2 linked regions of the Mytilus edulis genome follow. The protein of the gene in region 1 interacts with the protein of each later gene in a biochemical or structural test. Links are inferred from orthologs where the notes say so. Each region holds a gene or a part of one and is shown in the gene's direction. Other genes may lie near its edges.

Region 1 (7,834 bases):
GCTAATGCACGATATCACGGGCCGCGCTGACACCGGGGACTCCACTGTATGTGTATATGTCATGTATGTCTCTGGTTTTATGTATTAATTCCCCAATTTTTATTCAGGAAAATACTTTTTTGGGTATATACATTTAACAATGTTTAAAAAATATCTTATAATTTATTCAACTAGAATTTGGATAAAAACTGGGTATGAACGTGTAAGGTGAGAACGTGTGAGGTGCGAAGGTGTATTAGGCGCAGACAGACCTGGAGTCAATTTCATAAAAAAAAAACTTACGACTAAGATTTATCGTAAGTACATGAAGTATACTGATTTGTTCTTGACTTAAGACCAATCTTAGTCATAAGTTTTTTTTGTAGTCAACTCCTGATACCCAGTTGCCTGATAGCGTGAGACCAAACAGTTTTCTGGATTTAACCAGTTCTTGTGTATTCAGGGTACTATATAACTATTATGACTTTATGTATTCACCATTGCCATTGTCTTGTCTTGTAGTAGTTCTGTCCTATATAGGACCAGCTCCAGTAACCGTAGTAGATTATAGATTCACAATTGTTCCATTTCAAATGTTTTTTGTTGTTTTAATAGGAACAGTAATTTACATTGGCATTGGTTATACCTAAATTTGTAGAAGGCATTCAAATAGTTGTTAGTTAAATCTTTTAAATCTTTATAAAATGGAAAAAACAAGGTTTTCATCAAGAAATCTTACCATCTCGAACAGCCAGCATCTGTTCGAAGTATTTTGCACCAAATTCATAGATGTTATCTGGTTGATTTCTCAAAACTTCACGTGCAAGCCCTTCTAAAACATTTTGAAATCCTTTCGGAACGCGAAGTTTTGTGTTTGAAAATGGAACTGCCATGTTTTTCTTGTAAATCTGACTGAACAATCACCAGCAATCTATTGCTCTAGTTGGCAGTGGAGAAATGTGTGTATAGTTTGGCGCCTGTCGTCATAACAATGTACATTCTAAATTTCAACTCAACTCGGACAACACGGAATTAGTTGCTTCAGGTCTGTCTGAAAACCAATAAAATGTTAATTCTAACAAATTTATACGTTTTTTTTGTTATTAATTTCAACAGAGACATATAATACATTGTATTATATGTCTCTGATTTCAAGAACGTAAATGTTAGTCGATGAGGGGGTTTTTAACGACATTGACTACCTATGAGGGTCTTGCGTGGTCGGTCAAAATATGTTACGTCTATTCAACTAAAAAAAGGGGGATTCTAATAAATCAGTGTTAGTGTTTTGATCCCAAATTAAAAGAAGAAATAAAAAATTTTGATCAAACAGATGACAAAAAAATATTTTGAATCTAGATTTTCTCCATTCCTTTTAGTGTTTATGTCGGTTAAATATGGTGAGAAAAAATATTTGATTGATAGAATATGCAAATCTGTTTGCGCTTAGTGCCATACACCACCCCCTTTTATATTGAAGAATAAGAACTCCAAAAGAAATTAAGGACATTCGTTCAGCAACAAAAAGATGATTCTAGACCTATATCAAACACTTAGAAAAGTGAGCGAACAAATGTAACTAAATCATTAATAACAAGTAAAATATCAAAAATCATGACCAAACTGTTCTCCAAGAAAAATTCAAATCATAAATGTTGTAGAAAACAAATAAAAAATCTAAAAACACACAAGGCTGCTGGACCAGACAACATCAAACCAATTGTACTGATAGAACTAACCAGTGAAATAGCCCCGATCTTAAACATCATTTACAATTTTTCGATCATGACTGAGCAATATTAAGACCAATGGAAGTATAAGTGCTGATTTATACAAATTGAATGTTTATGTAAACCAACTTTGTAGACTTTAAACTTCATTGAAAGATCGATTCGATAAGTTGCTGTGCCCCACCTGTATAGATGACAGTCACACTTAACAATAGTGGGAAATAACCCATTTAACGTACACATCCTTACAAGTATGGCATACTGGGATGACTACAGCCAATGCGAAGGATATCTGATCCAACCAGAAAAAAGTGTTATGTTTACCAGTTAAAACCAACTACAAATAACATTAGCGGAAGATACTTGGTAAAAAACCAATGCCTAGTATTGTGACCAAAACATATCACTTCGGTATGCAAAGCGATACTCATGAGTGATTCAACTAGAAGTACTTTTAAGAAGAAAATCTAAAAAAAAAAACCAACAGAAGATCATTACATACATTTAGCTTGTATATAATATGTCTCTTTTGTAATGTATGCAGGATTGCATGGGGAAAATAGTCTAAACCCAGTGACCGCAATATGTATGCTACAAGAATTTATATTTCCGATTATGTTTTATGTCTTAGAAATTTTATTACTAAAAAATCTAAAACCACTGTCAAAACAATATAAGAGAAAAATCAAGCAAATCTTTAATTTCTCTTCCCTTCAATGTAGCTTACCAAGCAATTAACCTAATATCTAGATTACTATCAACCGAAGCAGTCATACAAAAATTACAACAAGACAACTGGGACGTACACATAAAAAGTGAAAGAGATGTTTTAACAAAGCTATATACGAGATGGTATAATACCTCCTTCATGTGTAAGACGAATGATGAAACCGAGAATCACTTCCTGTTGATATGTGAGCTGCTGGTATATATGTAAGGAACTAGATTGATACGAAACCACTCACTAGTCAATCCGTATGTCTAATGCACACAGCTCTCATATCAGAAATTGATACTATAAATCAAAACAGTTGTGTAGACACTTGTACTATTAGCTTAGTTGCATGTGAGACGATGTCAGAAGCTGGAAATCATAAAATCACAAAGAAGTCTATAAATTGTGAAATAACATTCCTTGAAATGAAATTGTCATGATCGCATCTGGGTATTATCCAGTTTCCAATATTTATAATTTTTTTCAAAAGTATATAAATTATCTTCGTTTGATTATAATCCTTGTGATACTGATTTATTAAGAATAGATATTAGAGACATTCTTCTTGACAGACATTCGTTTTCTCGTTTGAATTGTTTTACATTGTCATTTCGTGGCCTTTTATAGCTAACTATGCGGTGTGGGCTTTGCTCATTGTTGAATGCCGTACAGTGACCTATAGTTGTTATATTCTGTGTCATTTTGGTCTCTAGTGGAGAGTTGTCTCATTGGCAATCATACAGTGGCGGATCCATAGCCAGAAATTAGTAGTGGTTTTGCTAATTAATATTCATAATATGTAAATGAGAATTGTACCACGTGATAGTACTTTGAACTGGACTGGCTTGATAGGCTTGATATCATTAAAATCTTTAAAACACGGATATTATAAGTTGCCCGTCAGAGAGTCCTTATTTACAATCACTTTGATATTTCCGTAAAGTTGTCAGGCGGTCAAAATCAAAACAATGAACGCGAATTTAGTGAATTTTTCGTGCTTTCGTGAGTTTATTCTTCTTGAAATAGTGACATTTTAATTTTACGTGGGAACCTAAAGTTCAATGACTACACATACAAGGTTTGGACTTGCTTATTCTTTGGAAATTCAAGTTTCATATTTCACCCCGGCAACCTGTTTTTGTAATGACCTTGTAAGCCAATTTTCAACACGAAGTTTGCAAATTTGACGTTTCAGCCATTTTAGCCTGTATTTTACACTGCAATGTTAAAAGCCTCTCGCTTCGATTTTTAAAATAGCTCAGGAACCTGTAATTTTGCAACAACAGTCATTATGTTTCGTTTAAATTGTGTATATTGTTGTGTATATTCATTTTCTGCCCGGGCAACCTGTCTATCACTTAAATTAAAATTAAAACAGACATTTTTTTCAAAATTCCCTATCATTTTAATGTAATTTCCGTGACCCGTATCCGATTTCTTTAGTATAATATTCAAATAAGCAAAGTGGCGTTGATTTCTGGATATGCCGGACATTTAAAAAAAAAGGGGGGGGGGGTTCCAACCCCGGACCCCCTGGATCCGCCACTGATCATACCACATCTTCTTTATTTTTTATATTCAACAGCTCATAGGGTCATTTACCAAAATCTAAGCAACTTCTAGATTTCTTTTCTTTTGATTTGAGACCCAAATAATACCAATGCAAATATATGATAAAAGAACAAGTCAGTCTTTTCCCGCCATTGAAAAAAATATCTGGAGAAACAGTCACATAACCTATCAATATTTTTAGCTTGTTTTGTTCCTTACTGAGTGAACTAATGATCTTCTCAGGACCAAAACAGGGACTTTCCAGCTATGTTAGTTAAAAAAGTCAATGACTTAAAGTATCAATTTTATATTCTTGATCTTAATAATTTCACATAAGTTCATCCTTAAGTAGCAGTTATTTTTTAAAGACATGCTGAGACTATTATATTATAGTACAGGGACTTTCTATTCTATTAGTATAGAAAGTCCCTGTTTATCAGTATAATAGTCCCAGGGACACGGAAAACTTTTTTTTTATATCTTTCTTGACCCTTCAATTTTTTAAATCAATAAGGTTTCACCAACTTATTTAAGCCCTTACTTGTTTGTTTGTTTGTTTGTTTGTTTAAAAAACTGTCAACATTATAACCCTTCCCTGCACTCTTTTTATGTTTATTATTTTGGTTTTCAGATTACCCTCCTTTAACCGGAAAAGAATCAAAATCCAGAAATGGTTCTAAAATTAGAATCCATATCGGCGGTAAAAACAAAAACAGAAAAATGTGACTTGAGATTTGGTCTGTGTACTCTGATTCTAAGCAATTCTAATATACATCTGACACCTTATGTTTTACTTATGGTAAGATAAAAGTTTACCTGACTTTGTTAATTGAGTGCAGTCATACAGCAAAACACCTTAATATTTCCACACCAATTTATCATCAGATTATGACAGATATAAAACATCATTATGATTCATGGGACACTCATACACCACCTCAATACTAGCCAGTTATTAGATCTTATAAATAAATAAGCTTTATTAAGAGTCGGCATAGTTGTACAAACAAGGACATGCTCTTGTGAGTTTTTAACCTCTTAATTTTCTAATTTGCAAAACAATTTTATGGTTCCATATCAAATATTGATAAACAAATGTACATGTAGATTTAAGGGCATACGATACAGTTACAGGGGAGGTAATGAAGTTGCTGACGTAAATTGTTATTTTCACGACGTCAAACTATGACTTATCGGGAAAAGATTCAGTTTTTGACAGATTTTTATCATTCAAACTTATTTAACTTGAAAACAAGTTTATGAACCCCTCTTTTTTAAAATGCCATTTGGTTTGATTATGCGAGGGGGTTATGTGTGCCAATTTTCATGAAAATGTAAATAGTGCAATTTTTTTAAACTTAAAAAAAATGATGTTTTTTCTTCATTCATGAACATTTGATAAATATGAGTTATTTTCTGAATAAAAAATGTATAAATTTAATTTTAGGGTACTTATAAAATACAGAAATTACAAATTATTTATCTAAAAGCAATTTGTGTTTATCTTTTAAAACAAAAAAGTTTTGTTTTTCTTTGGAAAGGGAAAATACGACCACAAATCCGAATTTTGAGCAAATATCAGTGATTTTGCTAGCGCTCGTCACTTTCGTATTTTACGAAAAGGTTTTCGAAATGACGAAAATATTTCATATCAATTTCGTCACTTAAATTTGGAAAGTGTAAAAATATTTACACATCAAATTACTTGAATTCTACCTGTCTTTATGTTTCTGACAAGTTTATGACCCTCAGGTAATTAACGTTTACCAAAGGTGTTAAAAGTTGTGATGACAAGTAATCCGCCTATCGCCAATCAGATGGGTCACTAATCCCTTAATTATCATTATAAAACCTCATAAATGACCATCATAATAATGTATTTCAGTTAAATCAGTCAGTCAGCATTTCATTTTAATCATTTCTCACAGTTCAGTCGTATTTTCGTCATTTGAACATCCCGGACATTTCAACTTTATTTTTATTTCAATATTTTCCTTACGATCATAATTTGCAGTTTGCTTGTCGTAGTTTCGTCATTTCAACGTATTTTCGTCATACTTTATATAAATATTCATCAAAAACTTTCGACAACTTCGATTAAAAAGAATGAACTTTATTCAAAACGTAAATATTTTCACTTGCAAACAGGTGCTTCCTGTTCTATGCATTGCGCATGTGTAAAAGTTCGTAGATGAATCCGGTTTTATTCTGAAATTATTATTCAATTGTCACTTCCCGTTTTCATTTCATTTCGTTTAAAAATCGAAAGTAAACGTGCTCTACAGTCTACAGTCATTAGAATCGTCACATTAAGTTTAGATGCAGATCCTTCTATCCAATAATAAAGAAATTGATTCCAAATAGATATTAAAACGTATTTTCAAGGATATAATTGATTGTGAAGTGAAAAGTCGTTAGAAGTTCATTTGTGCAGTGGTTAAAAAATAGAGGCACCCAACTTTTGTTGATTCTTGTAAGGGGTGTGCCCTGAAAATAACTGAATTGAAGTTTTGACCATATTACCAGATCCCTGTTCTTATCTTCATATCTTAGCATCACATTAGTCAATTCATTCAATATTGCCAATAACTGCCTACATTAGCAATCCTAAAGTCTTCAAAGATCCTAGACTAGTCCTTGAAGGACTTGGACATATATGTATAGCTAGTTTGATAAACATCCTAGATCCCTTGCTTTATAAAAAAATAAGGCTGATTTTTCACGCGCAAAAGTGACTAAAGCCCTCAAAATCCTAGCTGAAACCCTGCAAATATATACAAAATTTCGACCTCATTTTACTCAACCTGATTTTTAGTGCCATGCCCATAGTGGTCAGTACTGGAAAGGACTGTCAGGTTTTCAGAAAACTAGTGACTTAAGACGTACACTCTGTCATGTTTCTAGCATGTCTAGTATGAGTTTCTTACAAAGTATTTTCAAAATGATATCTTTTATCACATGTATGTAACACAACAAATAACATTTTACTTTGTAGACAGATACATGTAATGTCATGATCCAATGACAGAAGTAACAGCATTTGTAGAAGGTTGGGACTTTGTCCAGACACTCGGAGAGGGAGCATATGGAGAGTATGTACAGAACTTAACAATTGTAGAACATGTAGACACTTACCATGTTTACAGCAATGCAATACTATCTTTTAAAATAAAAATCCACAGAACAATGCACACAAAAATTGATAATATAAAAAAGAAGATGTGGTATGATTGCCAATGAGACAACTATCCACAAAAGACCAAAATGACACAGACATTAACAACTATAGGTCACCGTACGGCCTTCAACAATGAGCAAAGCCCATACCGCATAGTCAGCTATAAAAGGCCCCAATAAGACAATGTAAAACAATTCAAACAAGAAAACTAACGGCCTTATTTATGTAAAAAAATGAAACCCATTTTTCTATTGTAATTTGTATGCATATTTATCTCAAAGATTGGGTACTGATCAATCAGACTTTTTGTTATATCAATTTGTGACTCTCTTATAACTCTTTAACTTATAGTTATTTTGTGTCAACATAGTATACATGCAGTTGTAATTTCAGAGTTAAACTTGCAGTAAATACTGATACCCAGGAAGCTGTAGCTGTTAAAATTATAAACCTAGAGAAAACAGCATCTGCAGCAGAAAATGTCAGGAAAGAGGTGATAATACTTAGATAATATATTGTTTTAGAATATCAATTAGTAAATTGGGCTTACACTTAGTACAATTTTCAAAATTTTTTGTTATCTTATCAACCCTCCAATTTCAACCTGAAGACCAAATTTTTATTTTCCATTATCAAAGTAGAAAATTCAAGTTCATTTTAACTTAATATGAAATATTTCAC
Region 2 (7,361 bases), on another chromosome or scaffold:
TTTTGATATATCCTCAGTTTTGTTTTACGTTTTATTTACACCAGATGAGTATTCCAATATAAACAACATTACCCGATTTTGTTTAAGAAATACAACTGCAATTTGTCTTATAACAAAATTCAAAGACATATATACTTAACTTGTTGAAGTAAGTAAAGATAAGAAGATGTGATATGAATGCCAATGAGACAACTCTCCACAAGAAACTAAAAAACGTAGAGGGCTAGCAACTATATGTCACCGTGTAGTCTTCCACAAAGAAAAACCAATCTCGCATAGCAAGCTATAAAAGTTTTTCAAAGGAAAATGTTAAAGAGTTCAAACGCAAAAACTAAAGGCCGGATTTATCTACAAAACAATAAACGAGAAGCAAATATAAGAAACACACATCAACACAAAACCACTGAATTACAGGCTCCGGAATTGGGACTGTCACATACATAGTGTGTCAAGGTTAACATGTTTGCATACGTGCCAACCCTCTCATAACCAGGGACAGTGGTGTAACAGCACAATATGTAAGAACAAACTATATAGATCACTTGAGAAGGGCTAAAAACTCTTAAAAGCGATACACAGAACAAATCAAGAGACTAAAACTAAAAAAATATAAATCTGAGACTACTCGCAGTATATCTGAAAACTAGTTCACAGTAAATAAGAAATAATAAGAAAATCATGTACCTAAGTATCTAGGTTGTGTCTAAAACTAGGCAATTATCAATCAGTACACGTCCAACTTTAAATGGATTTAGTGTAAAGACGTCATTTACAGTCGAGAAAACATTACCTTCTGACAAAACAAAGGTATTGGTATATGCTACTATGAAATTATAAAGATGTAAAGCGCATGCAGGAATCTGATAAGATATGCTGTTTCGCATATATCTTTTTGTCACTTACAAAGCTTTAACGTTTGAGATATTTTCTGTAAATCTTTTCATTTGACTATTGGACTTATAATGAGTACGGTTTATGCTGTTGTGAACCATTGCATATTATATTTCTTGTATAAAGGGGAGATTAAATAGTTTGCTAATTTGTAGTTTGAAGCAGAACTTATATGTTTTTATATTTTTTTGCATTAAAATTATGAACAAATGCATTCTGGACATTGTACAAGAAAAGGCCCTTCTGTATACTGTTCATGACGTTGATTTATGATAGGACACACGATATAAGTGTAGGATGACATAAACTTATATGAGTACTTTGTGTTTCCTTTCGGTTAACTGCAAGTATTATTTGATACGGTATTTCTTATTTTTTGGGGTATATAATTATTGGTTTTTATCTTTTATGCATCTGTGTATCATTAGGGAGAAAGGAATTCGAGTTCTAAATAAAAAAAAAATCGCCATAATTCACAATCCTGAAACTGTCCTGAGTAGCTGTCTTTTGTTTTATTCTTAACATATTGTATAACAAGCTGTCGTGTGTTGAAGATAATATTGACAACTAACATCAAGGTTTTTTTAATCTTTTTTATCTTGTGCCTGGTTTTGTTGAGTTTGTGACGTATTTATTGATTTAAAATGTCTTCAGTAAGTTAAATCTTAGGGAAATTGACATTATCGAATTTATAGTTTACATATAAATGGAACATTAAGTGTGTACACTATCTTATATCAAAGATAACTTATGACCACAAATGTCGAAAATTCTACTGGAAGAAGTTTCTGGGCAGTGGCTATTTTACCGGCTCCGGCAAAATAGCGATTTGTATAGAGTTTTGCAATTTTGCCGGTCTCAATTAAGATTAAAATAGAATTATAGAAAGTAATAATATAAAGAATACAGAAACATACACTTTAATAAGAAATCTCAGAAATCTCTATACAACTATATCTTCTTTAAACATTTATACAAAACGTTTGATATTCTTTACTTTAATAAGAAGTCTCTAAAACATGTCTTATTTTTTAAAATGTATACAAGTAACTTTTTTTCTTAAATAGGAAGCCTAAAAAATATTTCTTTTTAAAAAATATATAATAGACACAAGCAAAGCATACGAACCCATATTAAAAAATCGACATTCTGATTAAAACTTTTAATAAAATTATCCAATTAGTTTTGAATCAAAAGTTTACACCCAACAAAATCAAACTGCTGTACGAGCGCTACAAAACCAGTGCCTTGCTTTTTGGTGAATTTCTTTTAATTCTGGCACCAGTAAGGTGCTGCCACTGCAGACATGAACTGAACATAACACTTGATTTTTTAATGTCTGCATCTCTTTTGCAAAAATTGCAGATATACACATTTCAGTATTCAACATTCATAGAATAAATATCTAGATTTCTATGAACATTATTTTTTTTTTGTCAATCTTATATTTTATTGCACCATAGACTAAAGATTATTTTTAAAGTTTTGTTTGGTTTTCATAAATTCTATATAGTCATCGTTTCACGTTTCAAAGTACTCCAAAAACCGGCTGTAGCTCTTCATATTATCAGTCAAAAATCAAGTTGATTGATAGCAAATTTATTGTTTTCCATTTTTTTTTTCAATCTTCAACAGAAATTAATGTATGTACATGTAATTTGAAGAGTGCAGTTCACAAAATTGAATGACTAGAAAGGCAACTGAGGTGAACAAAAAGGTTATTGACATCATCTAGCCGGCCACATATATCATTTGTGCATAAATAGTTTCTTAAAAAAAATGTTTCATATAGTCTTGATTAAAAATCTGAAATAAGACCGACAAAATACCAAAACTATACAAATCGTTATTTTGCCGGAGCTACGGCCAATGACAAAACCTACCAGAGACATGTTAAGTATATAATATGTCTCTACACTTGACTGAAAATTCCACCAAAACGAAAACATATTGAAAAGTTGTGTATAAAGGAGAAAGACACTATACTAGATTTTACAGTGTTATCACCATAAATTATAGTTATGGTACCAAGTATTGTATCTTAAAGACTTAAAATAATCTATTCCATAAATATGTCCCACCGTGCATTTTATATTGGCAGTGTCTGCGCGTACCCGCATGCGGGTACGAATAGTCAAATTGCCGTTCTAGGCTGCGCGTACCCACATCCGGTTTCTAGGCTGCGCGTACCCACATCCGGTTTTCTATTGAAATGCCATCGGTTCGGGAATGAAAAGTGAAATATATACGGAAATTATCGATAATGTGGGGATTTCGCGTAGAACGAGTGAAGAGTATGAAAAGTAATATTTTCAAATTGTATTTATTAAATAATGATACATAATAAACATTGCAAAATTAAATGCACAATGATGGAAAATGAAACTGTACAGTCCCTGTAAAAGAAAAACATGATAGAAATTAATACTATTATAAAATTTAAATGAAAATTTAAAGAATAAAATTTTAAATATTTAAAAATATACCCATATGATATTTTAAAATAATCTTTTAGTAAAATGTAAAACCGAAACTGAAATTTATATTAAAATATATAAAACATTTATGTATCCAATATGATTGTTTTGGCACAGATTTCAACCCAGCACATTTCAAATGTTGCCATTCTAAACAGCAATCACATGCCAACGAGTCCTGATCGTGCCCGTAGGTTTTTTTTTTACACTTTATACATATCCAGTCGCATGTTTCCCTTCTTTCAGTGATCTTAATTTTTAGTTGTAACCAAGCTTACGTTTTTAAAAGAAACACCAAGAATCAACCCCCCCCCCCCCCCCCCCCCCCCCCATGAATGCAGGAAAAATTTATTCTGTTGTACTTTAAATCTTCTTTAATTTTTGTGATCCGGGGTTCTTCTTGTCTCTGCGGCTGCTATAGACTCCGAATTTCTTTTATACAATTGTATGAAATTTAACGCCTGATAGTTCTGTACATTTTAAGAATATTTACTAACTGAGAAAAAACTGTTTACTTACCTATATATATATATATATGTGTATATTTATAAAAATTCTGAACAGTTTTAATCAATTTATTTACTAATTGCAACACATTCTGTATATTTTTCACGTTTCATTCCCGATCCGACGGCATTTTATTATAAAACCAGATGTGGGTACGCGCAGCCTAGAAAGGCAATTTGACTATTCGTACATGCGGGTACGCGCAGACACTGCCTTTTATATTATTTTTAAAGATCTTTATGATAAAACACTACATCTGGGACATGGAAAACTTTTTAACACTCAATTGGTTCCGTTAAATAATGCAAAGTTTATAACATATTCTTAAATTTTCATAAATATTCGTATGTGGTTTTGAAGAATACGATAATAGTATGATCTTTGATTGTTGCAAACGTACGTTGACGTTGGTAATAAGCTTTACCATTTTAAACTTCCTGTTCTGTGACCTATTGACCCTTTCCCGCGCTTAAGTTGCACATTGTGAAGAAAAAAAGGAAAACAATGGCAGTAAGTTTTGTTGCAATATAATCTATTCTACGACAATTATAATCATTTGAAGACATGATCTTTAAAGGCAGTTTTAAACTGTGCTCATGAAATTTCACAGTTTTAAAGCATCAACAACATAATCATTGTATAAAATTTAGTGAAAGTTTGTCTTCGGTGAGTCCTTCGTCGTAAAATTTTTCAAAAGGGTCCACAAAATTTATTCTGATTACATACAAACCATAGGCCTCCGCTATCTGTAGACATGAATTAAAACCAAGATATATACAAGTTCGTACATGTGTAAAACTATTACTACCTTACCTCTTCAGGGTTTGATATTGGCAGGGGCCCACTTGGCAATACACCTTAATGTCCTTAAATCTATTCCTTGCTGACTTGAGAATCTGTCCCGCTTGAACTAATGACGCCACATAACAATCACTTTTCCATTGTGGCGTCAGATATAATGTAAAATTATTGTATTATGAAGTCAAAATTTTACAGGAACCTTTGGGATCATCAGAAGTCCAGTAAAGGCGAACAAAAAGCGATAGGACTTTAATCATACATGTAAGGGCTGAGTATACCTGAAACGCTAGTGCCTACTTTAAAGTTTTAAGGGTATCACTTGAACAACTCAAGTTGCTATTCAGAACAACTCTATAAGTAACTCTCTCTATATGTATAGCTATTTTAAGGCCCTGACGAGGCATTAAACAAAAATCTGAATGGTTTGGTGTCATTCAAGGGTTTCTTGAGTTTAACCATAGATGAGTGAGGATTTGAACCGGGGTAAGAGGGGTTAACTTGAGAGGTTTTGACCATAATATTGGAGGCAAACATTTAAACTAAAACCAACCAGATACCATATCGGTTTTTTTTTCACGTATAAAATTTCAGGATTTTCATTGAAAAAGGTATAATAAATATTTTGGCGGTTATTATTTTAGTGGATTAAAACTTTAATCAATACCTTTGTATGTGCATTTATTAATCGGCAGAATTATTTTGGAGATTTTCTTTTATTGCGAAAACAAGCGAAAATTAATACCCCGCTAAAATAACTTACTTCACGTTAAGATAACTGGGGGAACTGGGGTGATGAAACATGTTTTCAGACTAAAAATTATTTTTTGTATATTGTAGTATTTTAAAGATTTTTACTGTAATAAACAAGAGAAAATCTGGAAATTTTTACTGTAACATGCAAGAGAAAATCTGGAAAGTTAATATGCATTTTTGTATATTTCAGGAAGAAACATCATCAGATCCATTTTCCACAGCCACAAGTCCTTCTAGGGGTTCTAGAGGGCGAAGGAGTAGTCGTGGGGACCCACTTACTTCCAGTCCTGGACGAGATTTACCTCCCTTTGAAGATGAGAGTGAAATGGATGCTGGAGTTGCTGAGGAAGAGGCAGATGGAGAAGAACTATTTGGAGATAACCTGGAACAGTAAATATTTCTCCTTAAAAATCTGAATGCAAAAAACATGACTAGACACAAATCTCAAAACCCTACCAAAATATAAGGATTGTGTCGCATCAGCCCTATCCAAAATTAGGGTGAACTCAGATAAACAGATACTAGAAAAGTATTATGCAGTTCCTGACTTGTTGACATAACACATTTGTTAAATGAGTTATTTATGATCCTCTTTCAGAAATACAGAGCATGGTGCCATTTAATTTCAAATATGACTGAATACATATATACATGTATTTGAAAGTGTTTATAATTTATGGTAAAATTGGTTCAGGTACATGTAGCACCCTTTACCTTTCAAACTTATCTAGAACTCTTCAAATTAACTCTTAAGGTACTGTGAAAGTACTTTAATTCGTGGGTATCAATTTTCGTGGTTTGAACAAAATTTACATATTCGTGGATTTCAGTTTTCCAAAAAAAGAAAAAAAAAATCAAAAAAAATTAAAGCCATTAGCAATGAAGGTTACAAATAGTCTGGATTGAGGAAATTGCAAAGGAAACATTGACCCGTGTAAATCGTTGTGATAACACTAACCCATGATAAAGTGATCAACAGATTAAAGACCATCAAAGGTGTTAATTAGGCCATAAACATGTCACCTAAAGAAAACAGTAATATAAACAAGTGCTATAAACGTATCTTGAATTGTCAAAAAATTCTTACCAAAATCAAGCTCAGCATGAAACTATTATTTCCCATATGTACTAGAGTAGATCTATGAGGATATAAAATGAACACTTATCATACTAGCATACCAATGCCGAAAATCTGACTTTCATCGATCAAAATTATTTTTATGATAATTAAAAGATGAAAAGTTGTACAGTTTAGGTTATTAAAGATAAAATGGGTATAATCCTGCATGCTGTTGTAATTCTCTGACTGCTATAAAAGTATTCACAGATTTGGCGTTATTTAATATATTAATATATTCTCTTAATCATATCAGTAGTCAAACCTACTGATAGGGATCTTTCCATGTCTTGATTTGGACAATGGTTGTTTTATTTCGTTGGACACTTAAATTCGAGGATAAAGTCATCCATGAAAACCATGAAAATTGGTACCCCACAAACAAAAGTACTTTCACAGTATAAAAGAGACTTTAAGTCACAGGTATGTTTCTTTCAATATTTCCCAACAAATATTTGAAATGAAACCTATAAGAAATTCATTTAATGTAAAAGTGTACCTTCTTCTAAGTTCACATAGGTTGCAATCATATTAAAGGTAAGCACCTATATGTAGGATGATGACATTGTTAGACGAATATTTTCAAACTTTAAGATTCTAGAACTCTGCATTTTTTTTCATCTAAAATTATTGGAAGAATTTCTTACTCCATTTTTTGCAATGCAAATGTTTTATACATATATTTCTCTCTCCATTGTGTAAGAAATGATTTGCAAAAACCCAGTTATTTGAGTCTTTGATCCATTTTTGGGATACAATTGCTTTCAAGCAATCTGTAGACTTTTACCATTGACTCAGGGCCATGCCCTCACGTC

What was found. The genes of interacting proteins can lie anywhere in the genome.
Region 2: the proteins of serine/threonine-protein kinase Chk1-like (region 1) and DNA replication licensing factor mcm2-like form a complex in vitro, tested with the Homo sapiens proteins (2 studies listed by BioGRID, with this or other methods). The link is inferred for Mytilus edulis from reciprocal best matches to the Homo sapiens genes CHEK1 and MCM2.

The regions. Positions count from the first base shown.
Region 1 is NC_092348.1:28,491,640-28,499,473, reverse strand, and holds the start of serine/threonine-protein kinase Chk1-like, read left to right. Parts: upstream 1-4,617; 5' UTR 4,618-4,774; intron 4,775-6,970; 5' UTR 6,971-6,996; coding exon 6,997-7,067; intron 7,068-7,546; coding exon 7,547-7,646; intron 7,647-7,834. Other genes in the region: triadin-like, read right to left, coding at 719-872. UniProt on the Homo sapiens protein: Serine/threonine-protein kinase which is required for checkpoint-mediated cell cycle arrest and activation of DNA repair in response to the presence of DNA damage or unreplicated DNA.
Region 2 is NC_092344.1:14,624,558-14,631,918, forward strand, and holds the start of DNA replication licensing factor mcm2-like, read left to right. Parts: upstream 1-4,271; 5' UTR 4,272-4,379; coding exon 4,380-4,385; intron 4,386-5,619; coding exon 5,620-5,819; intron 5,820-7,361. UniProt on the Homo sapiens protein: Acts as a component of the MCM2-7 complex (MCM complex) which is the replicative helicase essential for 'once per cell cycle' DNA replication initiation and elongation in eukaryotic cells.